7 linked regions of the Zea mays genome follow. The main gene of each other region encodes a partner of the protein of the gene in region 5 in a complex. Links are inferred from orthologs where the notes say so. Each region holds a gene or a part of one and is shown on either strand. Other genes may lie near its edges. The genes, in order: 50S ribosomal protein L1, chloroplastic-like; 50S ribosomal protein L5; 50S ribosomal protein L15, chloroplastic-like precursor; 50S ribosomal protein L9; 50S ribosomal protein L3, chloroplastic-like; 50S ribosomal protein 6, chloroplastic-like; 50S ribosomal protein L27, chloroplastic.

The links.
Region 1: 50S ribosomal protein L3, chloroplastic-like (region 5) and 50S ribosomal protein L1, chloroplastic-like share a complex: the UniProt entries of both Arabidopsis thaliana proteins name them as parts of the 50S ribosomal subunit. The link is inferred for Zea mays from reciprocal best matches to the Arabidopsis thaliana genes AT2G43030 and EMB3126.
Region 2: 50S ribosomal protein L3, chloroplastic-like (region 5) and 50S ribosomal protein L5 share a complex: the UniProt entries of both Arabidopsis thaliana proteins name them as parts of the 50S ribosomal subunit. The link is inferred for Zea mays from reciprocal best matches to the Arabidopsis thaliana genes AT2G43030 and AT4G01310.
Region 3: 50S ribosomal protein L3, chloroplastic-like (region 5) and 50S ribosomal protein L15, chloroplastic-like precursor share a complex: the UniProt entries of both Arabidopsis thaliana proteins name them as parts of the 50S ribosomal subunit. The link is inferred for Zea mays from reciprocal best matches to the Arabidopsis thaliana genes AT2G43030 and RPL15.
Region 4: 50S ribosomal protein L3, chloroplastic-like (region 5) and 50S ribosomal protein L9 share a complex: the UniProt entries of both Arabidopsis thaliana proteins name them as parts of the 50S ribosomal subunit. The link is inferred for Zea mays from reciprocal best matches to the Arabidopsis thaliana genes AT2G43030 and RPL9.
Region 6: 50S ribosomal protein L3, chloroplastic-like (region 5) and 50S ribosomal protein 6, chloroplastic-like share a complex: the UniProt entries of both Arabidopsis thaliana proteins name them as parts of the 50S ribosomal subunit. The link is inferred for Zea mays from reciprocal best matches to the Arabidopsis thaliana genes AT2G43030 and PSRP6.
Region 7: 50S ribosomal protein L3, chloroplastic-like (region 5) and 50S ribosomal protein L27, chloroplastic share a complex: the UniProt entries of both Arabidopsis thaliana proteins name them as parts of the 50S ribosomal subunit. The link is inferred for Zea mays from reciprocal best matches to the Arabidopsis thaliana genes AT2G43030 and RPL27.

The regions. Positions count from the first base shown.
Region 1 is NC_050101.1:154,265,039-154,269,266, reverse strand, and holds the start of 50S ribosomal protein L1, chloroplastic-like, read right to left. Parts: upstream 2,801-4,228; 5' UTR 2,746-2,800; coding exon 2,419-2,745; intron 2,319-2,418; coding exon 2,139-2,318; intron 2,052-2,138; coding exon 1,997-2,051; intron 1,438-1,996; coding exon 1,310-1,437; intron 964-1,309; coding exon 880-963; intron 1-879. UniProt on the Arabidopsis thaliana protein: This protein binds directly to 23S ribosomal RNA.
Region 2 is NC_050096.1:5,387,174-5,390,571, forward strand, and holds 50S ribosomal protein L5, read right to left. Parts: upstream 2,028-3,398; 5' UTR 1,925-2,027; coding exon 1,619-1,924; intron 1,489-1,618; coding exon 1,288-1,488; intron 1,132-1,287; coding exon 787-1,131; 3' UTR 501-786; downstream 1-500. Other genes in the region: glycoside hydrolase, family 28 precursor, read left to right, coding at 1-429. UniProt on the Arabidopsis thaliana protein: Binds 5S rRNA, forms part of the central protuberance of the 50S subunit.
Region 3 is NC_050096.1:27,447,139-27,450,737, reverse strand, and holds 50S ribosomal protein L15, chloroplastic-like precursor, read right to left. Parts: upstream 2,240-3,599; 5' UTR 2,239-2,239; coding exon 1,809-2,238; intron 1,548-1,808; coding exon 1,396-1,547; intron 808-1,395; coding exon 586-807; 3' UTR 501-585; downstream 1-500.
Region 4 is NC_050100.1:222,785,531-222,789,611, forward strand, and holds 50S ribosomal protein L9, read right to left. Parts: upstream 2,801-4,081; 5' UTR 2,729-2,800; coding exon 2,585-2,728; intron 2,059-2,584; coding exon 1,931-2,058; intron 1,618-1,930; coding exon 1,572-1,617; intron 1,326-1,571; coding exon 1,228-1,325; intron 1,048-1,227; coding exon 1,000-1,047; intron 907-999; coding exon 786-906; 3' UTR 729-785; intron 643-728; 3' UTR 418-642; downstream 1-417. Other genes in the region: methyltransferase WBSCR22, read left to right, coding at 1-26; Chaperone protein dnaJ A7A, chloroplastic, read right to left, coding at 3,451-3,496. UniProt on the Arabidopsis thaliana protein: Binds to the 23S rRNA.
Region 5 is NC_050100.1:79,035,706-79,038,763, forward strand, and holds 50S ribosomal protein L3, chloroplastic-like, read right to left. Parts: upstream 1,880-3,058; 5' UTR 1,736-1,879; coding exon 1,237-1,735; intron 984-1,236; coding exon 694-983; 3' UTR 501-693; downstream 1-500. UniProt on the Arabidopsis thaliana protein: One of the primary rRNA binding proteins, it binds directly near the 3'-end of the 23S rRNA, where it nucleates assembly of the 50S subunit.
Region 6 is NC_050099.1:216,898,364-216,900,720, reverse strand, and holds 50S ribosomal protein 6, chloroplastic-like, read left to right. Parts: upstream 1-1,285; 5' UTR 1,286-1,357; coding exon 1,358-1,723; 3' UTR 1,724-1,857; downstream 1,858-2,357.
Region 7 is NC_050103.1:167,360,501-167,364,140, forward strand, and holds 50S ribosomal protein L27, chloroplastic, read right to left. Parts: upstream 2,214-3,640; 5' UTR 2,152-2,213; coding exon 1,858-2,151; intron 1,017-1,857; coding exon 915-1,016; intron 806-914; coding exon 629-805; 3' UTR 501-628; downstream 1-500.

The sequences.
Region 1 (4,228 bases), on a different chromosome or scaffold from region 5:
CCCTAACCTACCGCACGATTCTCATTTAGATCCCCAAACTATGAAATTGCATATCTAGGTCCCTAAACTATTTAAGTATCCCATCCCGGTGCAAAACAGTCACATCACAGTTCATTAGCTAACATTGCACTCTAGCGTGGAACCGACATGCATGTCCATAACTCATAATTACAAGGATGATACCTAAACTATCATTGGATTCTTACAAAAGTCTCAAACTATAAAATTTGGATTAGGATTGTAGTACTTTAATAGGTTAGGGACCTAGATGAGTAGTTTTATAGTTTGGGACCTAGCTGAGAATCCTATGATAGTTTAGACAGCCCTTGTAACTATGAACTATGGACCCATATGTCAGCTTCACGCTGGAGTGCCACGTCAGTTGATGGACTGTGATGTGGTTATTTTGGATCAAGATATGATACTTATATAGTTTAGGGACCTAGATATGCAATTTCATAGCTTGGGACCCAAATGAGAATTACATAATAGTTTAGGGACCGCCAGTGTAGTTTACTCATATTATTACCACTGATAACGCTTCATATCTTCCAACATGTGTCTCATCTAGTTTCCTCGGCGATCAGTAAAACCAACTATTTCAACTTCCTGAACTCTTGCTATGCACAATTAAATTACAAACATGTGTTCAATAAAAACACCATGCCTGAACCTTGAATTATCGGAGTACAGGAAAGTAAATGCAACTGATAAAGGTAGGAAGTTACTTGTACATGAATCCTAGAAGTCAGTAAATACTACAAGGGCATGAAGTTTTAAATCTTGTCACAGTGCCCAGACTAAGCAATGAAGACAAACGATTTAGAATATCGATAAAAAAACTGAGGCAAACAAAATCTGTATTGACTTCCTCAATACCTGAGTAATATTTGAAGAAACAGTGCCAGCTTTGGGGTTAGGCATCAGTCCTCTTGGTCCTAGAATCTTACCTAAGCCCGCAACCTGAAAAGTAAACAGAAATAACTCAGGCTGATAATCATTTAAAGGGGAGCCCACATTGAAAGTTTCTACGAACATGTCAAATAATGCAACAAATATATACAGAACTTTGGACATTTAGTTTAGCATTAGTTATCAAAGAATGAAACATCTCACACATGTATTCTTGTATTCCGAAATTAGATTGGCATAGCCAATCTATTTTATCTATAGAAAACAAAAAAATTAACAGTTTACATGGTAAGACACTTAGGACCTATAGTAAGCACAACTAAATATTTCATTTCAAATTTTGTGGTAGTATCCAACAGTAAATTGAAATGAAGGCAGAACTGTTAATAGCTCATACCTTAGGCATCATATCAGGTGATGCAATCAATTTGTCAAACTCCATAAATCCTCCTTTTATTTGTTCAATCAAATCTTCTCCACCTACGATATCAGCTCCGGCAGCTCTAGCTTCATCTATCTTCTCACCTGTGAGGTCAGAAAATAACTATTAATGCATATAATGACCATGATTATTTCAACTACTGGTGCTACCATCTTTATGATAATGACAAGAAAAACATGACTATCTTTCACAAAGGATATGAAAGAGAAGTTTCAGTCATTCAACAAGGGTTTGCTAAGTGGACAGCACAAAAATAGCACCATCCCAACTCCCAAGTGACTTCTTGTAAAAAACAAAGAAGTAGAAACATCATGAACATAATAAACTGATTGTTAAATTCTTCTACCAAGATGCCAAAGATGAATTAACTTTGTCCAATCCAATATGTTGCATTTGAACTCTGAAAGAAGCCATGGTACTTTAAGAAGAAAAAAAATACAAAATTAACCAATCGGGTCATCAGCACACAATGTTTGCATAAAAATAAAGACAAGCGTGTTTCAGATTAAACCCATAGTCACACATGAGGCAAGGCAATAGTGTCAAACAGAACAATCACACATATGACCCACTAGCACAGTGAATTCAGTTTGTACTAACTATCGCTCAACAGGATTTCGTTGTGTTTCAATCACCGCCCACCTTGTGTGAGAACCGCAATCTTCACCGACTGGCCTGTTCCCTTGGGCAAATTCACCTGTGGTCACCACGACCAGCACAAATTAACGAACGCAACAGGGCACAAGCAACCAAAAAGAGAAGGCCAGAAAAGAAGAAACAATACCGTGGCCCGGAGCTGCTGGTCATTGTACTTGGGGTCGAGATTCATGCGGAAGTGCGCCTCCGCTGACTCAACAAACTTGGCACTGGACATCTGCTTCATCAACGAGATGGCGGTGGGCACGTCGTAGTCCTTCTTGCTCTCCCTCAGCTTCTGTATCTCGAGGAACCTCTTCGACCTCGTCTGCGCACCATCAAAACTAGCACAGCATCACCGGCCGTACACAAGCAAGCAAGCCACAGGAACCATATACGGAGGGTGGGGTATTCGGCGATATGCGTACGCGGTCGCGCTTAAGCAGTAGCGCGGCCTTGCCGGTGCGCGGGCGCGTGGGGGCCGTGAACGCGGGGCCGCGCCCGCCCTCATACCCGTCGTCGTCGTCGTACTGGCCCTGCTGGTCGACCTCCGCCTCCTCTTCGAGCACGGCCCCCTGCGGGTCGGCGATGGCGGCCGCGGCGGGGCGGCGGAACGCGAGGAGGAGCCGCGGGTACGCACGCAGCGACGGCACGGAGGAGGGGAACAGCAGCGCGTTTGACGAGGCCGGCGCCGTGCTGCTGGCCGCCGGCGCGAGGAGGGAGGAGGAGGCGGTGGCCGCGGCGGCTGTGGCCATGGTGGAGGCCGGGGAGGATGGCGCAGCAGATAAGAGGGAGTGGAGGGATAGAAAGAGAAGCCGAAGTGGCAGCGCGGGTTGGTTATAGCCGAAAGATCTCGGCCTGGGTGTTCATCGGATAGGGCTGGTCGTGGGCGGGCTCGCGGTCGCAGCCTCGCAGGGGCAGGGATGACGGGCGCCGCGCCTGGAAAACTCCTCCCCCCTGATTCCAGTGATTTTGGCTCAACCGAGACGCCCGGTCACCTGCCTGATCTTGGTTGGGAGTTGGGACGAGCGGGTGTACGAGTGTGCGATCGTGTCGTGTCCGCGCGGGCGACGGGTAAGGAGAAACACGGCGAGTTGGCTGGGCCGAGACGCGCGCAGGTGTTCGGAGCTCCTGATTTGGCTCAGCCCCGAGGACCGAGAGCCATGCGGATGCGCGCGAGGCAGCCGGACAGGTGTGTGGTCGCGGTTCGCGTGTGGGTTCGAGCGGCAGCGACGAGGGACGCATGTGTGGCTGTGGCTGCCAGCCTGCGACTGCGAACTGTTTGTGTGTGGCCCTTGACTCTACTCTATATCTATACTACTATATTATTTAGATTATCCACCAAACAAATTCAGATAGCTGGATAACTCTATCACCCTTACTCAAATTCAATGATGAACAATATTATCTAGATCATCTATCATTTGTCATGTCACCCTTCCCTTTCCCACAATCTGTCGCCTCCAACCTCTCCCTCCCTCGCGTCCCCGTCGCCCTCTCCCCTTCACTCGTGCCTCCACCGTCAATTCCTCCTATAGTTCTGAGGCCTATGTTGTAATACATTGGTAGTGTGACCATAACATGTGGTTTTCTCACTTTGTAATCAGACTTTAGGTTGTTTCAATGGCACACCACTCCACATACATACAATGAACTTTAGAAAGTGCAGGAGCTCCAACTTTTTCCCCTGCTGCCACCATGTAGAGGGAGAGAGAGAAAATTATCTCATATATCACTACACTTTTAATATAGAATTTTCTTTGTGCGTCGCCATGTGTCTCTCACGCGTGAGTAGGGGTGGTAATGGGCTATAAACTTTATACTGCAAATTTTAAGGATCGAATCGGATTAGGGTCGGGCTCTATTCTTATTCATTTTTGAACTAATATTATTTAAGGGCCTTAACTTTTGTGAAGAGGCATTTGGATCGTGATCCATTACCACCTCTACGCGTGAGCGCCCGTGTCCGTCCAACGCGGCAGGGCTCCTACCACTATGGCACACATCCATTTGTGGTACATAAAGGAGAGATTATATATATCTATACACTATAATTTAAAAAAAAAATATAATCATGTTTGAATATATATATATATAATTTAAGGAAATGCAACATATATGATATACAAAAACTGTAGCAATATTGAGAGCACCTAGAAAGGGGTGAATAGGTGATCCTGTAAAATTCAACACTAATAGCCACAAAACTTAGTTGTTAAAGTTAGAACGGCTAAGTAG
Region 2 (3,398 bases), on a different chromosome or scaffold from region 5:
TCCGGCGCCGGGAGGGGCGGCTTCGTCAGGGACATCTTCGTGCGCGGCCTCAGCCTCCACACCATGAAGTGGGTGTTCTGGATGACCGGCAACTACGGGCAGCACCCCGACAACACGTCCGACCCCAACGCCATGCCCGAGGTCACCGGCATCAACTACAGCGACGTGTTCGCCGAGAACGTGACCATGGCCGGCAGGATGGAGGGCATCCCTAAGGACCCCTACACCGGGATCTGCATATCCAACGTGACCGCCCGCCTCGCGCCGGACGCCAAGGAGCTGCAGTGGAACTGCACCAACGTCAAGGGGGTCACCTCCCACGTCTCGCCCAAGCCGTGCCCGGAGCTCGCCGCGGAGGGCAAGCCGTGCGCCTTCCCGGAGGAAGAGCTCGTCATCGGCCCACCCGAGCTGCCGAAGTGTAGCTATTGAGGCCGATTGCCAAAAGAGATCATTGATCATATAGGCTCTTCGGTGATAGTCTAGACAAGCAGTATGAGAAATGCAGCTGAAATACGTTTGCATTACAGTGTCCGTCTCACATTACTGCTTCCTCCGATTACAATGTCTGGCAGTGGTATAACTTGTGACTACAAATTATGCATCAAGAAGAAATCAGCAAAACGGACATGATCATTGCAAACCTTTTTCATAGGTGCACAAGTTACATAATTGACAGACAACAACAGCATCGAATTTGTAAGCCAAATTCTGCAAAAAGATCGGAATTAAAACAAGCTGAACAGAGCGTGTGCAACCATGGGCTGGCTGGCTGGCTGGTTCCTCTCCTCACCGTCGTCCTCCCTTCCCCTTGCCCTTGCTCAGGAAGTGGTGGCGCTTCAACCTCTTCTTCCGGATCACCACGTCGGTCTTGATGTTCTCCGAGAATGGCATGCCGAGGAGGACCAGCAGCCTGAACGCCTCGTTGTCCGTCTTGGCGCTGGTGACGATGGACACGTCCATGCCGTTCTTCTTCCCGCCCACCTCGTACGGGATCTCCGGGAACACGCCCTGGTCACGGAGGCCAAGGCTGTAGTTGCCGTGCCCGTCGAAGCTGTTGGGGTTGACACCCAGGAAGTCCATGGTCCTAGGGAGCCCAAGGTTGATGAGCCTATCCAGGAAGTTGTACATTATCTACAGCCAAGGACAAAAAAAAGAAAAAGAAATGAGCCCTGTACCAGTGAAACGAGCTCACAATTTCCACTTGTATTGCAGATTATACTAAGCTGCCATATTCCAAACTGCCACGAAATACACTCCGAGGCCAAATGAGCAATGGATGAGGCTCACCCTGCCGCGGAGGGTGACTGCGATACCGATGGTGTTTCCCTCACGGATCTTGAAGCTGGCCACGGACTTCCTGGCCTTGGTCTTGACGGGCCACTGCCCGGTGATCATGGCCAGGTCCTTCATGGCGGCATCCAGCCCCTTCGAGTTCCCTGCCTCCGCGCCCAGACCGCAGTTCACCACAATCTTCTCGAGCTTGGGAACCTAGCCGTTCGAACCAACCGCACGACTCATCAAAAGTCAAAATCCTACCACGCCAGCAAATTAGCCTAGCTACAAGGAGGAACGGCGGGCCTTTCCGCGGCGAGGAGGAGCAGGGTCGACGGTCGAGCACCTGGTGGACATTGGTGTAGCCGAACTCCTCGGTGATGAGCGGGACGACCTTCTGGTCGTAGACGGCCTTGAGCCGGTGCACCTTCTGGGCTTCGGATGGGTCGACGAGCACGATGCCGGAGGGCGATGTCGGCGGCTGCGTGGGCTTGGGCGGCGCCTCGGTAGCGGCGGAGGCCACGACGCGGAGAGCTCGGCGGGGAGCCGCGGAGGGCAGGAGCAGGCAGCGGCGGGCGGATGAGGAAGAGGCGGTTGTGGCGACGGCGAAGGGCGTGCCCGAGGAGGGCAGGGTCACAGCCGCGGCTGCCATCGGAGCGGGGCGTGCGGAGGCGGGCGCGGCTTATGCCATGGATGAGGAAGACGGTTGCTGGATAAGGCGTCGGCTGTGCCGCTGGCAGTGGCCAATCCAGTGGTTCTGGGCTAGGCCTTCGTGTGCTCTGGACTTGGACCCATTGAGGATACAGAGATGGCTAAAGCCCATCAAGCCCAAGCCAAGATTGTTTAGTGGATCAATAAGATTAACATCATAATACAGCCTTGTTTTGCTAACAACGAACCTAATATCGTGAATACGTGATTAACAACAGTCATTGAGCTGGTCATGCGTGTAAAAAACAACTTAAAAAACAAGTGTGATCAGTTTAATATTTGATATGTGGGACATGTGCCCATGATGACGTTACATATATATTTTTTAGTGAGAGGTAACCATATATTAAACTGATTACACATGTTCAAGCTAAAGTGCATGACAAAAATAGTTCAATTAGAATCCATAATGGTAGCTTGCTATCAAGATTGTCATGCACTATTGCTTGGTCATGACACACCACATATAAATCAAATAAAATATTGAAAGATTGATATACAAATCAAAATAAAATGTTGAAAACTGAATATTCAAGCTTGAATATAGTAGATTTGTCGTATGTGGTTCGTCGTCTACGTCTCGCTTGGTTGGGCTAGGTCGCTTGACGCTTGGGCCTCGTTGGGCCGCAGGGCAGCTGTGCAGCTCGTTTGGCTCGTTAAGAACCAAACTAAAATGTTGGCTGAGCTCGTGACTCATTTCAAACGAGCCAAGATGTATCAAGCCACTAATGAGAGCGAGTTATGGATCCACAAGTTTCTCGTCCAGACCTAGTGGCAAAGTCTGTGCAATATGATTAGTAGGGTGTAGAGTGGTTTCTAGACTTGCGGGTATCGTACTTTAGACTTTAATAGGACCTCACTCGTGAAGTAGACTAGTTTGTGTACTTTGTATACATGGCCTTACTCTTCTCTTTCAACCATGATTGATGTCTTTAGTGTGTTGGTTGTGTTGGCCCAAAAATGAGATGCAATATTCCAAACTATCGTGACAGGGGTTGTGGACACCCTATGCTCCATGTGACAACACAATTGGATGCCATGGAGCCTAAGGCTGTTGTGTGGGGGATAGATATCCCCCGGGTCCACTAAAGGAGTAAAAGACCTCACGAAAGGCCCAAGGGCCCAATAAATCGTAAGGTCATTCTTTTGTGGGCCTGGGGAGAAACAACCAACAAAGCAGAGCGACGTGATACCGGATTGGTGCAAACCCGAATGGCCCACAACGTCGAGCGAGTAAATCGCAACAGAGACCCGACTTTCCCGCGCTGAAGCCCCCATGCAGCGGAGCCATGCGAAGATAAGTCGGCGAGGGTTACGTAGGGATAAACTCAAGAGGTTCACTACCTTTTAGCTACTTGTTGTTATCATATCCACGTGTACTGCCCCACGGTCGAGTATATAAGGCCTAGGGGCAC
Region 3 (3,599 bases), on a different chromosome or scaffold from region 5:
ATAGAGGTCGATGCTTGTGTTGTGTCATTGTTTCGGGAGATGAAATAGAATGTACAAGGGAAATGTATTACTTGCAGAGCATCTCATTTCACCAATCAAAGGTTGTGTAGAATTGTGCATAATCTGGTTTAAAATAGATGGTCGTACTATTAAGATAGTCAACATTGTTTCCATATCTGTCATCTAGAGCCACTTGAGTGATCTAACTTTGCATATGTTGCTAGGATCAAGTGGTGGATAAAGTTTGAGATAAAAAACCTTTGAAAATGCTAACTAAGTCTTAAAGGTGTTGATCATCACGTGGGAAATCATTTGGAGTTAACTTTCTTTGTAAAAAAAGGTTTTCGATATTCTCCTAACCAAGGGTTGTGTCTTTGGATTTGAATTCTGGATTAGTCCATTTTGTTCTGAATCAATTATTAAAGTGGCTATCGTAGCCCTTTAAATAAAATTTCCGAAATGTCTAATATCATCGAAGTCAGAGTTTGGATGAAGAAGTTATGAACATTTTTAGTTGAGCCGGTGTGTCTTGCTCAGTAATAAGCATATGCTAAAAGCAAGAGAAGAGTACATCGCAAAGAAATTCTATGCAGAGCCGCTATCAGATTCACCAGCACCAGCTTTTTTCTTGGCAAAGTACTCTTCTGCTCGGGCTTGGTTCTTTAGATAATTTTGTGGAAGCCATTTCTTTCGTTTAGGTAACAGAGTTAGGGAACAACCAGCTGCCTCAAGCTTCTCTTTAGCTGAAGCTGAAAACGCTCCAGCCTTGATATTCAACTTAACTGATACATCCCCATCTCCTAAGATCTACAAACAGGTGAACAACAAGTGATCATGAAGGTAAGACAAAATATGATTGCAAAAACTAACAGGTGGCACATGCCACTTCATGTTTATGTTAGCAGATATGGAAGTTTGTAGTTACTCTAGAATATATTGTAAATCCAATGAACAACCTATGGGAACATTGCCAAATTGTACAAACAAAGCTATTCAACACTTCAAGTGGTGCTCATCTAACAGAAACAACCAAAAAAACTCGATCCCGTATTGCATGTTCTAATAGATGACTCTAACTCAAGTGGATAAACTTGGTACCTAACATTATCACAGGCTAATTCAGAATCGATACAACAACCTATAAGAAGTAAAAAAGTAAGAATACTGGCCACTCAATCTAACGACAAATCACTAAACACTTCGATTCTTGCTTCAAATCTGGGGTACAATAAGGTTGCCTTAAAGAGAACATGTCCTCACTGGCCAAGACCTAAGCCAAACCCTTGAATATGAAGTCATTCATATTTTCGAACGTGTCAAGTTCTATGTCACAAATACCAGTCCACAAAACAAGTTTTATTGAAACAACCAAAGGTTAATCATCAAAAGATTTACCTTCAGCGGCAGCTTCCTTTCCCTGCCTGATGGATTGATCAGACCCCGTGATTTCAGGCTTTCCAGTGATATTTCGTCACCATCTTTGAATCCGCCGCGCACTATGTCTTTTAAATTGAATGGCACATACTTCGGCAGGCCAATGTGCATCCCTGAAAAGCCATGGTGGAACTCACATCAGGCAACTTCTCAATCACTTGCATTTCTGCATTCCTTGTAACCTTGATGGGCTCTCACGAGTAACAACACAATGCATAGTTCAATTAGTTATGCGCCAGCCTGGTGTGAATTTAATCACGGATGGGCAATGCCGAAGTGGGGGTGTGAGACAAGCATCTGTCTGAACTAGAGCTTAGCGAGTTGCTTCGATTGAGTGCATTAGGGGAAGCTTCGGTTTAACTGAAGCAACTCACCGCCGGCAATGCCCCGTAGCTTGGGGAGACGGCGGTAGAGCGGCATCTGCCCTCCCTCGAACCCGCGCCGGACGCCGGGCCCCGAGCGCGATTTCTGCCCGCGCATACCGAACCCGCAGCTCGCGCCCTGGCCTGCAGCAATACCGCGTCCCTTACGCTTGGGCCGCCGGCGGGACCCCTTCTGGGGCCCCAAATTGTCGAGCCGGAACTTCTCCACTGGCGCTGCGGCGTCCGAGGCCTCGGCTGCCGCCGCGGCGCTGCTGCAGACGACGGTGACGCGACGGGGCGGGAGCGCGCGGAGCGGGAGGGCGCGGGGCGCGGCCCAGCGGCCGGCTAGGATTCCGGGACCAACGACGGAGGAGGAGGTGAAAGCCGGGATGTGGAGGAAGATGGCGGTGGGAGCGAGGGAGAGGAGGGTGATGGAAGCCATGACTGCCGTTGGAAGGGCTTGCGAATTGCGATTGTGGATAGAAGCGGATAATTGGGGTTTGGGAACGAGATAAGATGGAGACGATGGGCCTCTTCCACTCTTTATTTGGGCCTGTTTTTCAAACAGCCGTGGCCCATTCATGTCAATAATAATAATATACTCGAAAGTTGTATATAAAGAAGAAAAAATCGGTATTTTTCTGAATAGAAGATAGAACTATATCAAAACTTTGATACATTATATTCTCTAACGCTTAGACAAACATAGTTAGCAACTAAAATAATTGAGTAAGGGATAGAACCATACCTTTTTCACATCTTTTCAAAAAGATTTGCAATATGCACAAACTTAAGCAAAAAACTCTGTCCGGCAACCAAACACATCCTTAATTGCTAGAATGTGGGTAGAATAAGTTATTCAAGCAATGTTCAAAAAAGCGCGATTAAGCGCCCGCCTAATCACGATTAGACGCTAAGCGGCATGTTAGCGCTGCGCTTAGGCCCTAGGCGGTGGTTTCCGCGGTGGGCGCGTGTAGGCGGCGCGTGATTTGCGCTATGCGCGCTGAGGCGGAAAGGAGGCGTGTGGAAGCGGGGTTCGGCGCGCGGGGAAAAGGTGAGCACGGAAGCTGCTGCGCGGGAATAGAAAAAAGCTGCTGCGCGGGAATAGAAAGTGAATAGGAGGGAAAGAGGTGGGAGCTGCTGTTGCCCGGGAGAGAGTGAAACAGGCTGGGAGCTGCAGCTGCTGTTGCATGGAAGAGGAGGAAAACAGGGCCGCTGCCAGACTGGTCCTCTTCCCCAGCTGTCCAGGGCCGCCACCGTCGGTTCCTCTTCTCCTTCTGGTCAAGTCGTCCAGGCCACCGGGGTCAGCGCCTCTCTGCTCCTTTTCCCTAGCTATCCAGGCGTGCTCTCCCTCTCCCTCTGCTCTTGCTCTGCTCCTCCATCTCTTCTGTTCTATACTTTTATTCATTATTCCAGGTAAGTACCCCTAATTCCTAGCTAAAACTGTTTTTTCTGTGCAAATATATATATTATATTGTATATTCCTACAAACGCTTAAGCACGATTAATCTACGCCTAAGCTCTCTAGGCGCTAAACAGTGGCCTAACGCCCGCCTAACGCCTAGCGCTTATTGTAACCTTGTATTCAAGTACTTGATGCAGAATTTGAGGGGAGCACACATATCTTGTGTTATTTGAGACTAATGTTTTCTTTAGTGATCTTACATAATCTCAAGGTGGATAGGAGGATTGAGCAAGCTACAAGGGTGTAATTGAGACTTGTCACCTTCATGGTTCACAAAAATGGGTACCTTAGTGAGTACTTTTAATTGGTATCTTAACTGGTGCTTTGATTAGTATTTA
Region 4 (4,081 bases), about 140 Mb from region 5:
GGCGTAAGCGGAAAGGCTATTTCTAGCTCTGTGCAATGCCCCCTTGCCTGCAATGCTGGCTGTTCAGTTATGATGCTAGTTCATTTAGCAGAAGCAGAAGGATTTTTGTAAAGGGTGAAGCGAGGAGTTGTACTGGTATTCGGGAGTCATTGCATTTTTAGACAACGATGTGAAACTGTCATTTTTGTAGAACGTGGATGTTGAGATGAATACAGTTGGTTTGCGTGAATCTGTATCAGATCGCTGGTGACGCCCAGACTTTGGCTAAAAGAAACGCAGTTCATGTGTCAAGTACGTTGGTGTTCCAATCTGAATAACGCTCTATGGAGCCCCATACTTAGCAAATTTCTTGCCTTTTTTTTGTAGTGGATGCAGACGTAGAGGTGGGGAAGGTTAGAGGACAAGAAAGAAGGGTCGTTTTTGGCGAAGTAGTGCTCTACAGTTCAAACAAATTGTTCTTTACAACAATTTATATTTTCCGCCTCAAAATCAACAGATATAATTGTTGAAAACTTGACTTCACACGGTAGGGAATAGGATGCGCAGTGAGCCAGTGAATTGTGTATCAAAACCAGGCAAGTCACGGCCAGACCAGGCCTCATGTCTACCGCAGCACCTGGCACTTGCAGCAAAATCTCTGCACTAAACAAAAGCAACTGTGTAAGAGCAAGACCAGCGGAATTCTAAGAGCCAAATCTCAAGGAAAGAACAACGGCAAATGAGCTCGCCTGGCAAACATCAGGCTTCTCCAAAGTCCATTACTCGAGGTTCTGTAACTGCTGAGCTCATTTCGCATAGACATTCAGCCTTACTCGCGCTGTCACGTCTGGGTGAAGCTTGATCTCTGCAACATACTCTCCGATTTCACGGATTTCTGGAACCGTCACCAGCTTCTTGTCGACATCCCTACAAGACACAGCGTGCCAGCAGTAAGAGAAGCAATATAATGATGAGAAACGCTATTAAGATTGCCTAGGAGTTAGGAGCATATGCACTTGCCTATTAAGTTGTGACTTTATTATGTCAACAACATCCTGTGCCGTGACACTGTACAATAAAAGATATCGTCAGAAAAGTGAAAGTAAGACTATACCCAGCAGATAGTGACACTATAGATTGCAGTGTGTACAAAGTAGAGTTTGAAATGAGAGATGGAGATGGGTAAGCTGTAAGAGATAGCCTGAGACAAGAGAGAATAAATAATGGATTGTCCAACTTAGAACTTGCCTCCCAAAGATCTGTTTTCCTTTTCCACCTTTGCGAGGGAGTTTGAAAGCGCCAATGGTTTCAAAAACTCGAGCAAGTTGTTGCGCGTCTTCTTTTACCTATGTAAATAGAGGACTTCTTAAGGCCATAATTATAAACAAAAACTGATAAAAATGCATTGATAGAATTTCATGAACATATCATGCTTAGGACTTAAATTACGGAGGACATAAAGGCACTATATTTTCTTTTCATAAGGAAAGTAAGGATAAACTGCAATTGAAGTTTACTCTCCAGACAAAGAAAAAGGTCGCTGAGGTTAAATTGCAACTACATTTATTACTGAGTAAAATATTTTTTCCTACCCGCTTCTTCTCAGCTTCTATTCTCTCCTGCTCCAGCTGCATTTCCCTGCGAAGAGAAGTAGAGGCAATAAATTCATTCGCAATCTTACTTACCCATCGAATCAAACAGTATGTGTGTCGACCATTGCAATTCTATTAGAAAGGTGCATGGATTGGATTCATATCTCAATCTAGTTTTGCTAGGTGCCTAGGTCCCAAACCTCAGAGTCAAACTAAGCATACCACAGAGAAGGTCATACGGTTGCCAGCAGCCACTGAATCATTTGACAGAGTGTGGACTTTGCAATTACTTGAGGATTAAATGACATAACTAACAAAGCAAAGCAAGTGAGGGATAACCGAGAGCTGGTAGCAATTACTTGAGGACTTCTGGGGTCAGAAGTGTAGCCTTGCCCTTGGGAAGGAGGAAGTTGCGGTAGAATCCAGCTCGCACCTTCAGTGTATCCCCTTTCTTCCCCACCTCTTCTATGTCGTCTGTCAATATGACCTATGGGAAAGAATTGTTTTTTTTATGGAGAAAGGTAAAATCACATGTAATGCTAAGGGTGGCGGTAATAGCTACACAAGATAAGCACCACATTGTCAATTTAACTGGATGCACCGTTGTTGCATTCTTGTACAATCAGGCAAACACAGCAAAAGGAACGACTTATGAACTGAACTCCAACTAGTGAGGCAAGGCTCCCATCAAAGGTATTTCATCCCTAGTATCTAAATCCCCTGCCTAAAAGCCTGGTTAGTAGTAGTAGTAGTACAACTCTTGGAGCATCTAAATTGTGCGAGCCACTATATCTTACCTGTTGCCAGTGAGACAGCTAAGCTAGCTAACTTCATTTGTATCTATTGATCACAATATACAAACGTACCGACGGCGGTGCATCAATTTTTTTAGAGAAGAAAACTAAAACGCGGCAGGTTATGATGCCCTCAGCAACCCGCGTGCATTAACTGATTGCTAAGATGAAATCAGCACAGAACTCGAACATAAGAACACGCGGAAAGCCCGGGCCGACCTGGCGGTACTTCTTGACCTTCCCCTGGGCGACGATGACCAGCGACGGAGCCCGGCGAGAGGCCGTGAGGCAGCGCCCCGCCGAGGGCCGCGGGTAGGAGGCGGGGGTCCAGGGCAGCGTGGAGGCGCACGACAGCGACGCCATTGCTCTCGCGCTTCGCTACTCAAGCAAGTGGCGCTTCGGTCGCCTCCTCCGCTCGCACCGCTTTCCTTTCTTATCCATCCACTGACTTCGCGAGAGGCCTAAATAATGGTTTGGGCCCGGAAATGAGAAAGCGGCGGCGGCGGCCCAATCGATCTGGAATGGATAATGTCACGGCTCCGTAGAGCCCGTTTCACAGCTTCTCTCGCCTGTCGCGCTGCGTCCATGGCGGGAGCCTGCGCGGTCGCCGTGCCCGGATCCAGCCGCGTGAACTGCCGGCGTGATAGCCCTTTCTCGAAACTGAGAATTCGATATCACCGAAACGTATTTCTAATAAATAGTTCCATCGCATCTTGTAAGTTGGATAAGTTTGCAATTCGATATCGGTGAATTTGATTAATCCAAAACCTCAAGTACAGTGTTTGTCTAGTCCCGGGGTTTGGGATCAGCATCCCACAGCTTCAGACTTCTACGCCGCTTGCCAGACTGAAAAGGACTCCAACTACATAAAAATAATTGCTTGGCAAGAATGACAAGGGACCAACGCCGCGACGATATTAGTTGACAACTTTCACTCCCTCGGTTGCCACTCAGCCTGAAAATCTTGCAGCTCTCCAATAAAACGAATATACGAGCTCGTGGGGACCCCCAATGAATCTAAGAACTTTGATTGGACTACAGCACCATGTAAGACAATCTTCTATCCTGCAGTAAATATTTACAGCCTACAGGTTGTCGTTCAGCCACTTCGCAGCGCCATTAACAATGGACCTGAAAGAATTCAACATCTAGGTCAGAATACAAGAGATAACCCAATCACAAAAATGTCTGATGAACTAAATCAATCAACATTTTTTCCTCTCGAACTCAGCCAACCTTTTATTTTTCTCGAACACAACTAACACAGTTAGGATGGCTCAAATTTCAACAGAGGTTATGCATCTGCATTCAAATCTCCCATTACTACAGTGTAATTTCCCCTTTTAAAGAATACTCGGAAATGTAATGCAGTGACCAAAAATATAGTTCATTACTACAAGATTAAGTTGGGTTGGTTCAGATTTCAATAAAAGAGGCATCTGCATTCAACTTCCCATTACTATTTACTACACTAGACCGGACGGGGCGCTCCGCTGCGCCAGTTTCGAAGTGCGTGAAAGAACAGGTAAAGTGATAAGTCGTTCAACAGCGATCGGTGAACAGTAATATTCAGAGATACATCAGCCAACACGCGTGAAGCCACGGCCGCAGGCTGGATAATTTAAAATGCAGGCGTGAAGAGAAAGGCGTTCAGATTTTAAGAAACTTAATTTGTAATTTTCCCTTTTAATAAAGGAGTACGTGAAAATGTAACGG
Region 5 (3,058 bases):
AACTTCTTTGGTCGTATGTTCTTTATGTGCAGGTTGAGGAGTGATCCATTTGTACAGACTATTTTGGGCAGCTAAATATCTACAATTGTGGTCGTGGAACTAGCTGATTTGGTGGCCACTGTTTCTTCTTCCGTGTTAGGTTTTGTGCTCTTAGAGTAGAAGCATGGATGGCTTATTATTATGATCAAATAATCCGTATTGAAGGGTGGCCCAAACAATCCGTCTTCTTTGTATCTTCTCTGAGGGTGATGTGGTAGCAAATGTATTCGTTCAGTTGGCTATAGTGGAAGCTTTACGATTATGTCAAAGTTCTCCTTTCTGCCCCCCTGTTGCACAAGGTTACGTCTGCAGTTTTTCTTGTTTGTCGCATTTCCTGGTTCCGTTTTGGTTGCGTTTCCTGACTCAGATCAGTACATATCTGCATGATCTGCGACCATTTGTATTTAACTATTTGTATGATCTATGGCCATAGAATTAATCAACTATTGTTTAGCGGAATTCAGGAACCAGAAGTGCATCTTGCATTACCTGCCTATTACTCTCTCACCCAAGCATCCAAATTGTACAGGTTATAGTTTTACTAATCTGAAGTTGCATGTGTTCAAAAACTGGAAATTGGCAAAGGATTACATCCAGTTTGTAGCAGGGTAACAAACACAAACACTCAACATTCACCCCCCTGAAAAAAGAAGTCTAGTTCTTGGGGATGTTCTTGCCGACGATCTTGGCCGGCGTTATGCGGAGGAGGTTCCCGGGCTTCCCTGGCACGGCCCCCTTGATCATGAGCACCCGGAGGTTGTTGTCGATCTTGACGATCTTGAGCTTCCTGATCTTGGTCTTGGTTCCTCCCATCCTCCCGGGCATCTTCTTCCCCTTGTACACGCGGCCCGGCGTCGTCCCGGCTCCGATGGAACCCAGCTGCCGGTGGCTCTTGGAACCGTGCGTCATCAGCCCGCGCTTGAAGTTGTGCCTCTTGATGCCACCTGCGCAGTGCCACAAGTAAAACCGCGCGCGAGCGGATCAAGAACGTTGCAAGCTAGGAGATTGCACAAGTGGCATAGCAATCGCAAATGCAAACCTTTGAAACTACAGCTACAGCAAATGCTGCTAAAACTTCACTCTCCATGAAACGGAACAATGACACATACAACCGAGGCTGGCAGATCATTAGCAGAATTGCTGTTGCTGGCAATGCAATCGCACTATTGGATGGAGGCGCGAGAATCGGTGTACTACCTTGGAACCCCTTGCCGATGGAGTTGCCGGAGACGTCGATGAGGTCGCCCTCCTTGAAGAGGTCGGCGAAGTCGAGGGGCTGGCCGGGCTCGAAGGCGTCGACGGCGGTGAGCCGGAACTCCTGCAGGTGGCGCAGCGGCGGGGCGCCGGCCTTGCCCAGGTGGCCCAGCTCCGGGCGGGTGAGCTTGTCCTCGCGCACGCCGTGGTACCCGACCTGGACGGCGTCGTACCCGTCCGTGGCGGCCGTCTTCACCTGCGTCACCACGTTGCCGCCCTCCCGGAACCCGACCACGGTCACCGGCACCGGCTTCCCCGTCTCCGGATCGAAGTAGGTCATCATCCCCACCTTGGTCGCCATCACGCCCACCCCGGCCTCGTACGACGCGCGCACCGCCACGGGCGCCCGCCGCCGCCCGCCGCTCCAGGGGACGGCGCCCTGGCGGCGCTGCGGGAGGAGGAACGCCACTGCGCCGCCCACGCCCACGGCCGCCATGGCCATGCTTGCTTCGATTTGACTGGGATTAGCAGAGGGGAGTGGCGCTCTCGTTCAATTTGACTGGGATTTATGCGGATGCGGATAGGCCGCTCTTCCTCGCGCCTATCCCCTTATCCAAGGAGGACGTCTGCTCGGAAGCGACTCAAATAGATACGCCTTTCTACAAAGAAAGCGTATATACAGTTGCTTAGAAATTTGCATGGCAAGACCTCCATCCATTCTCCTATTGTCACGTACTTAGTGTTTGGTTGAGGAGCCAAGTAGAACGGAGCCATTCCATCCCTGATTCTAGGAACAGAGCCGCTCTGTTCTGTGTTTGGTAAGTTGGAACAGAGCTGTTGACGCTTTTTCGGAGCGCCAAATACTCAAGAAGAACCGGCGGCGGTGCTCTCTGGTCAGGCGCGGACGGTCCGCGGCCTGGGGCCGGACGGTCCGCGACCTGGCGCAGGGGCTAGGGTTTCCTGCCTGACGGCCGGACGGTCCGCGCCCTAGGGCCGGACGGTCCGCGCGTGCGCAGGGGCGGCGGAAGATCGCCGGCGGCGCCTGGATCTCGCTCCCGGGAGGGACCCCGTCGGGGAGGAGAGATCCTAGGGGTTGTCTAGGCTCGGGCCGGCCGACCTAGACTCCTCTAATCGGCGTAGAGTCGAAGAGAGGCGAAGAATTTGGGGATCGAGAGGCTAAACCTAAACTAGACTAGAACTACTCCTAGGATAAAATGCGAAATAGAAGTTGTATTGATTCGATTGATGATTACAAATCGGCCGTATACCTCTCTATTTATAGAGGAGGGGGCTGGACCCTTTACAAACTAATTCCCGAGCTTATCCCATGATTTTAGCTAACAATCGTAGCACAAAACTCGGAACCCTAATCTGCTCTGTGCACACGCGGACCGTCCGGCCCACAGGCGCGGACCGTCCGGACCGCGGACCGTCCGGCCTCAGGGCCAGACAGTCCGCCGGCTCATTTTGGTGTCAAACATATGCCCCCCTGCCTTTTGGTGGAGCTGAGCGAACCAAAAGCAACTAACTCGATGTGATCACATCAGTTTTCTTAGGCATCTTGACACTTGCTAGGATGATACGTAGTGGCCTTAGTCCCGATGGTTGACTCAACGGACGTGACTCTTTTAGCTTTGATCGAACTGTCAGTCCCAACACCGTCGAGCGTCATAGCGATCCTGACCAATCCGTCACCTTACTTTTTCTAATTTTCCAAGTGTTCTGGCGTAGCTTCGTAGTCGACCAGGTCTTCCCCTTGTAGGTCATCTTCCTCCATGGGTGTCGGTACATCGTTGGTGGTGTCTTGGTGTAGTGCGGATGGTTC
Region 6 (2,357 bases), on a different chromosome or scaffold from region 5:
CCATTTCTCTATTTCTTCTATCGGTCCTGAAGTACTTATTTCTTTTCTGATGGATGGATGAATGGATGATGGTTCATTAATGAGTACTTGCCGATGTGGTGATGTCTGAAATCTAGATAGTTTGTGTTACATGTTAGTACCTAGTTATCCCTTAAGGGCTTGTTCGGTTACACGAATCCAGAAGGGGATTGGAGGGGTTTAAATCCCCTCTTAGGGCTGATTTGGTGACCCGGGATCCCGGGAGGATTGAAGGGGATTGAGGGGAAAATTAGTTTATTTCCCCCTCAATCCCCTCCAATCCTCCCGTGATCACCTTGTCACCAAATCAACTCGGTTGATTTGGTGACAAGGTGATCACGGGAGGATTGGAGGGGATTGAAGGGGAAATGAACTAATTTCCCCCTCAATTCTCTCAAATCCCGCCGTAATCTCTGGTCACCAAATCAGCCCTTATTGGCTAGTTTGGAAACTCACATCCTCTTCGGGATTGAAGGGGATTGGAGAGGAAATTAGTTCATTTCCACCCCAATCCCCTCCAACCCTGAAGGGGATTTGAGGTTCCCAAAGTAGCACTAAGGGTTAGTTTGGAAACTCAAATCCCTTCAAGATTGAAGGGGATTGAAGAGAAAATTAGTTTATTTCTACCTCAATCCCCTCCAATCCCAATGGGGATTTGAGGTTCCCATTGACTAGGAGGGGATTTAATACCCTCCAATCGCCTTCTGGATTGGTGTGCCTGAACATGCGTTAATTGGAGATGGGGACCCATTGGGGACCCAAAACCCGAATGAGGATGAGTATGAGATGAATTTTGCACCCATAATGGGTATGAGGATGGACTAAATATGATAGGAATGAGTTTGGGATGCTATAACCCGATGGAGAATTCTCCATTAACATCTCTAGATGAGTTAGAGATAGCTTTAGAAGTACAAGCTAGTTGTGCCGAAACATTTTTCAACAAAATTCGGGAGACAACTGATCGTTGTACCAAAAGAAATATATTATGTACCCGTGAGCCTCATTTTGTTTTGTTGAAGCTTCATCAACGGCACATCTTAGACCACGGAATTTTATAATATAAAAAGGTGACATGGCATTTTATGATAAGAAGAGGGCAGGGGACTAAACAATTACAAGTTTTTTTTAAAAGAAGTGGAGATATAAAAAAGGAAAAACACTCGATGAGTGAGCGGTCAGATGATCGCACATAGTGTGGGCCAGATTTCGCTCAGCGTAGCAAATCCCGCAATCACAAAACCCAATCCGAAACAGTCCTCCTCCCATCTTATCCCAAACACAACCCACACTACTACCCTACCCGTCCGCCTCTCTCGAAAGCGCAGCACCAGCGAGCATGTCGCCTGTCACCGCACTCCTGGCGGGCACGGTGGTGCCGCCGGCCTCGGCCCCGTCGCCAGCGAGGCACGCCCGCCATTACTCCGTCGGCTTCTCCCCGCTCCACGGCGGCGGGCGCGCGGCGCTGGCGGTGGAGTGCTCGTCGCGGCCGCAGAAGAAGGGGACCAAGCACCACATGAAGACGCGGCCCAAGAAGACGCAGCCGTGGGACATCAAGCGCCGCCCCACGCAGTACCCGCCGCTGCCGCCGCTCCCGCCGGACTGGACGCTCGTCGCCTCCGGCGCCACGGTGGACGTGGAGGAGGCGGAGGCCCCGGCACCCGCCGCGACTCTCGTCCTCGACGTGGCCGCGGCCACCGACTGAGGCCGCCGCGGCGTGTCGCCAAAGTTGTTCCCTTGAACCTCCGCATAAGCTGTTTTTCTTTGAGATTTATTATATAATAACAATGGCTGCCCAGATTTTGTGATTATAAATTAAGAATCTTTCATTGCTGTCCAGATTGTGGCTGTCACCGCGTCCAATTTAGTGCGTTGCTAGATGATTTCTTGGTTGCATGCTGTGTGCAACGCTTATTCCATGCCGTCAGTGGCAGTGCAGACTGCAGAGTGATTAGCTACTCCATCTCCATAGTTTGCCAGTTAAGTTATGATGGGATATGGATTACGCAAATATAGTCTTCAAAAGGGGGGGAAAACAAGCAGCCCAACGAAGACATCTGCCTCTTGTTTGACTTTAGGAGCTGGCTCTGTTTGATTTGGACAATTGCCTGATATTGGGGAAGGTTCGGTAAACAGTAAACTCAGCTTAGATGGCAGGAACAGCCATTGAACACTGCAAATGATAGGAAATTTTAGAAGTAACCTAGTTGTTTGTAATGTTGCTTTTGTTGGAGCATGATTGTGCGAATTCCATATGCTACCTGCCTACCTAGGGATGGCAATGGATACGGGTATGGGTAAATAACCGCGGATAATTATCCATTGGATATGAGTATGGT
Region 7 (3,640 bases), on a different chromosome or scaffold from region 5:
TATGACATTGCATAACTTCATTAGAGACAGTGCTCTACACGATAGAGACTTTGATGAACTAGGACCTAATAGCCTTGGTCATGATGTATCTGTAGGTGAGAGTAGTAGTATCACATCTGATGAGTTAGACATGAGTGCATTTCGAGATGCAATTGCTAATGCATTAGTGCCGTAGTTAAATATGTAAATGTAACAGTAGTTATGTTGTAATGAACTCCACTAATTATATGTAATGACCTTTTGTTGGTTCGGTGTTAATGTGTATAGTTTCTTCAAACAGAATCTGCAATCTGAGAATCTGTGTATCCAAACACCTAGATTCTAACGAACAGCTTTTCCGCACAGCTGGCGAACCAAACACCTAAATTCTAACCACCAGCTTTTCAGAAAAGCTATTCAGAAAAAAGCCGAACCAAACACGCCCTACGTGGAGTGGTCTAGGAAGTTGGAATAGACCCCCACTGTGACTCTAAAGCACAACTACCCCACAAAAAGTACAAGTAGAACATATCCATTTATCTAAACAACACATGTAAATATGACCTTTATAGATCATGTGGTCTTACAATTAAGGAAGAAAAAGTGTAACAAGGGCTGTGAAAAAGAGAAACACCACACAGGAAACTTATCAGCAGTCCGCGCTGACCTCAGAGTTTTCATCAACAGCAGCTAGTACCAACTGAGGCTCAGCGGCGCCCTCCGCTCTCGCCTTCTTCCGTTCACGCCGCATGCGGAAGTACTCTCTCTTCCTTGCTCTGTAACTGTTTGGGTTTTCAGGCTCCTTCTCATATGGGTAAACACTAACCTATGAAAGGAGAGGTAGTGAGATGAGCATATATCTGGTGTGCAACCAGATCTCAGTCAGATGCAAGTAAAAGCAGATTTCAGTATGTAGTAACTAAGATACAGCTAACCTTTTTCTTGTCCGGCCCATACTTCTCAAACTTGACGAGTCCATCTATCAAAGAAAAGAGTGTGTGATCCTTGCCCATTCCAACGTTATTTCCAGGATAGACCTGAAATGTCCAAAAGATTTTATTTTAAGAAAAAACTTAAAAACGGCAAGGAACAGACAGACCACAAAACGGGGACCAAAACGAACTCTATACAAGGGACACGATGGTATAAACCATGTAGTATCCATAATATATAAACATCTTAAATATTTGAAGCGCGCTGGTAAGTAGGACGGACCAACCAAATCGTAAGACATGTAAGTTCATGAAATATCTTTTACAAGGATTGACCGACCATCTTACAGTATGCCTAATATTGAACAGCTATGTCTGACCATGTGTGCAGAGTAAGGTGGGTGTTTAGTTCAAAATTTGTTGGATTATATAACCTGGGCAGATTATAATCCCAAACAAACACCCCCCTAAGTCACCACCAGTTGGCTCCATAGGGCATTGAGGTTAGTACGTTACATTCCCCAGCGAGGTTTGTGTGTGCACTTTCCCCTCCCGTTATCTGATGTATGCAAGAAACTGCAATCTTTTCTTTCCTGCTTTTGCAGAGTGGTAAACTATGGAAAATGCAGATATGCACAATGGCAGCATACATTCCAACGTAACATGTGCAATGGCAAGCATTCTAGGTACATCGTAAGATTCTAGCATTCGCAGTCCGTAATCCGTATGAAGGTACTGGTCGGTGGTTAATATGCTTAACCTGCATCAGCAGCAGCAGCAGCAGGTGAGCAGCAAGCAAACGCTAGGCAGAGAGAGCTATGTCGCCCAGCAGAGCCAGTCAACGAGGTACCATAATCCACGCAAGCAAGAGCCTAGGCTGTCTTACTAACCCAAAGCAAACCAGTAACAGGTAAGGGAAGCGAAGGGAGCAAGAGGGGGGCAGGACCCTGGTGCCGCGCTGGCGGATGATGATGGCCCCGGGCTTGGCGAGCTGGTCGCCGTATATCTTGACCCCGAGGCGCTGGCCCTTGGAGTCGCGGCCGTTCTTGGTGCTCCCGGCCCCCTTCTTGTGCGCCATCTGGATGGTGAGCCGCCGCGCCGGCACCGGCACCGGCACGCCCGCTGCGCCGCCGACGGAGAGCGAGGCGCGGTCGCAGCGCGGGAAGGAGGAGGTGGTGGTGGTGGGCGCCAGGGAGAGGCCCTTGAAGGCCCCCGCCAGGGCGAACGCCATGGAGGCCATGGGCCGCTGGAGCGGAGGGAGGCAACGTGGCAGCTTGGGAAGAAGACGGGGGAAGAGAGCAGATGAGGCGGTGAGGTACAGAGGTGTGGGCGCTGGTGATAACGGAGTGGAGAAGGGATGCAGTCGGGAGACGTGGGCTCGTTCGTGGTTGGCCCAGTGTTTTGGGTCCTGGAGTTTTTGGGCCTTACTTGCAGATGGGCCTCGTGGTGCTTGCAGAGTGTCTGGCCGAATTGGAAGGGAGGGAAATGGTGTTATGCTCCTGGCCGGTTTTGGTCCTTGTAGTTTTAGGCAAGGCAACACAGGATTCACGAAGGAATCATTCAGGGGGAAAACAAAATGATCAGTGTGGTGGTGTTTGGTTCATGATATGTAACGTAAGTGGTAACGATAATGATTCACATTCAAGTACCAACGATAATAAGTCTGAATAGGCTCAGTTAGAGTTAAACAAACATGATATGTGAACCAAAAGGGCATCATCTTGTTCCTCCCTCCGGAGCTGCACAGAGAGACGCTGAATGGCCACAGCTAGCTAGCGTCGGCACGTGGGGAGATAGCCGGGGAAGCTAGCTAGAGTGACAGGCAGGCTTGTTGTGGAGCAAGAGCAAGAGCAAGAGAAGCAGTAGGCATGATGATGGGCTTGACCGGCGGCAACGGCAAAGCTGGAGCCGGAAGAAGAGGAGACGACCGACACATGGCATGATTAGGATCCTTGACGAAAGCGCGGGAGATGCAGAGCGTTTGGGGGTCCAAGTTAATCATGGCCCAGACCAGACCACACAAGCAAACAGGGCCCTACCACCACCACCACCACCCACTAATAATCTCGTGTTCTCCAGAGTCCAGACGCTCCATCCGCTCACTCGCTGCAGTTTGCACTGTTTACTCCTCCGTCTCCGTGTGCGTTAGATTTCCGGCGGCACTAGGGATGCCAGAAATTTCAAAGAGGCAGCAGCGCACGGCGCTCACAGGCTGCTGCTACTACTTGTACTAGCAGCAGTCACCGCACCGCACGCACCGTCAGCAGGGGGACGGAGAGATGACATTGACCGCCGGCGATCATTGCCTCGTCTGACGATTCGCCGGCGACACCCACACCCGCACCCCACCCCGGCCGGACCCGACCGACACAACGCATTTCCTCTATCTTTTTCCCACTCTTGTTTATTTGTGACAAATTATAGCGTGCTTGCGGTTGTAAAATGTTAGTCCATATCGATCTTTGCCACTGCACGGTGAATAGTTTGGAACTGAAAAGGACACGAAAAGGCCAAGCAAGCAGGCAGGCTGGGTCTAAACGAGAATGATGGGGAGGGTTAGATAAAACCCAAGATCATATCAGCCGTGACTGTAAAAAAAGAGAAGGATTGAGAGAGAGAGAGAGAGACGCCGCGACCGACCGGCCATGATGGTGATTGGTGAATGTGAATGTGAATGTGATCCCTTCCCCATGAGTGACAGGTTTTGGTACCTTTTTTTCTTCTGGAAC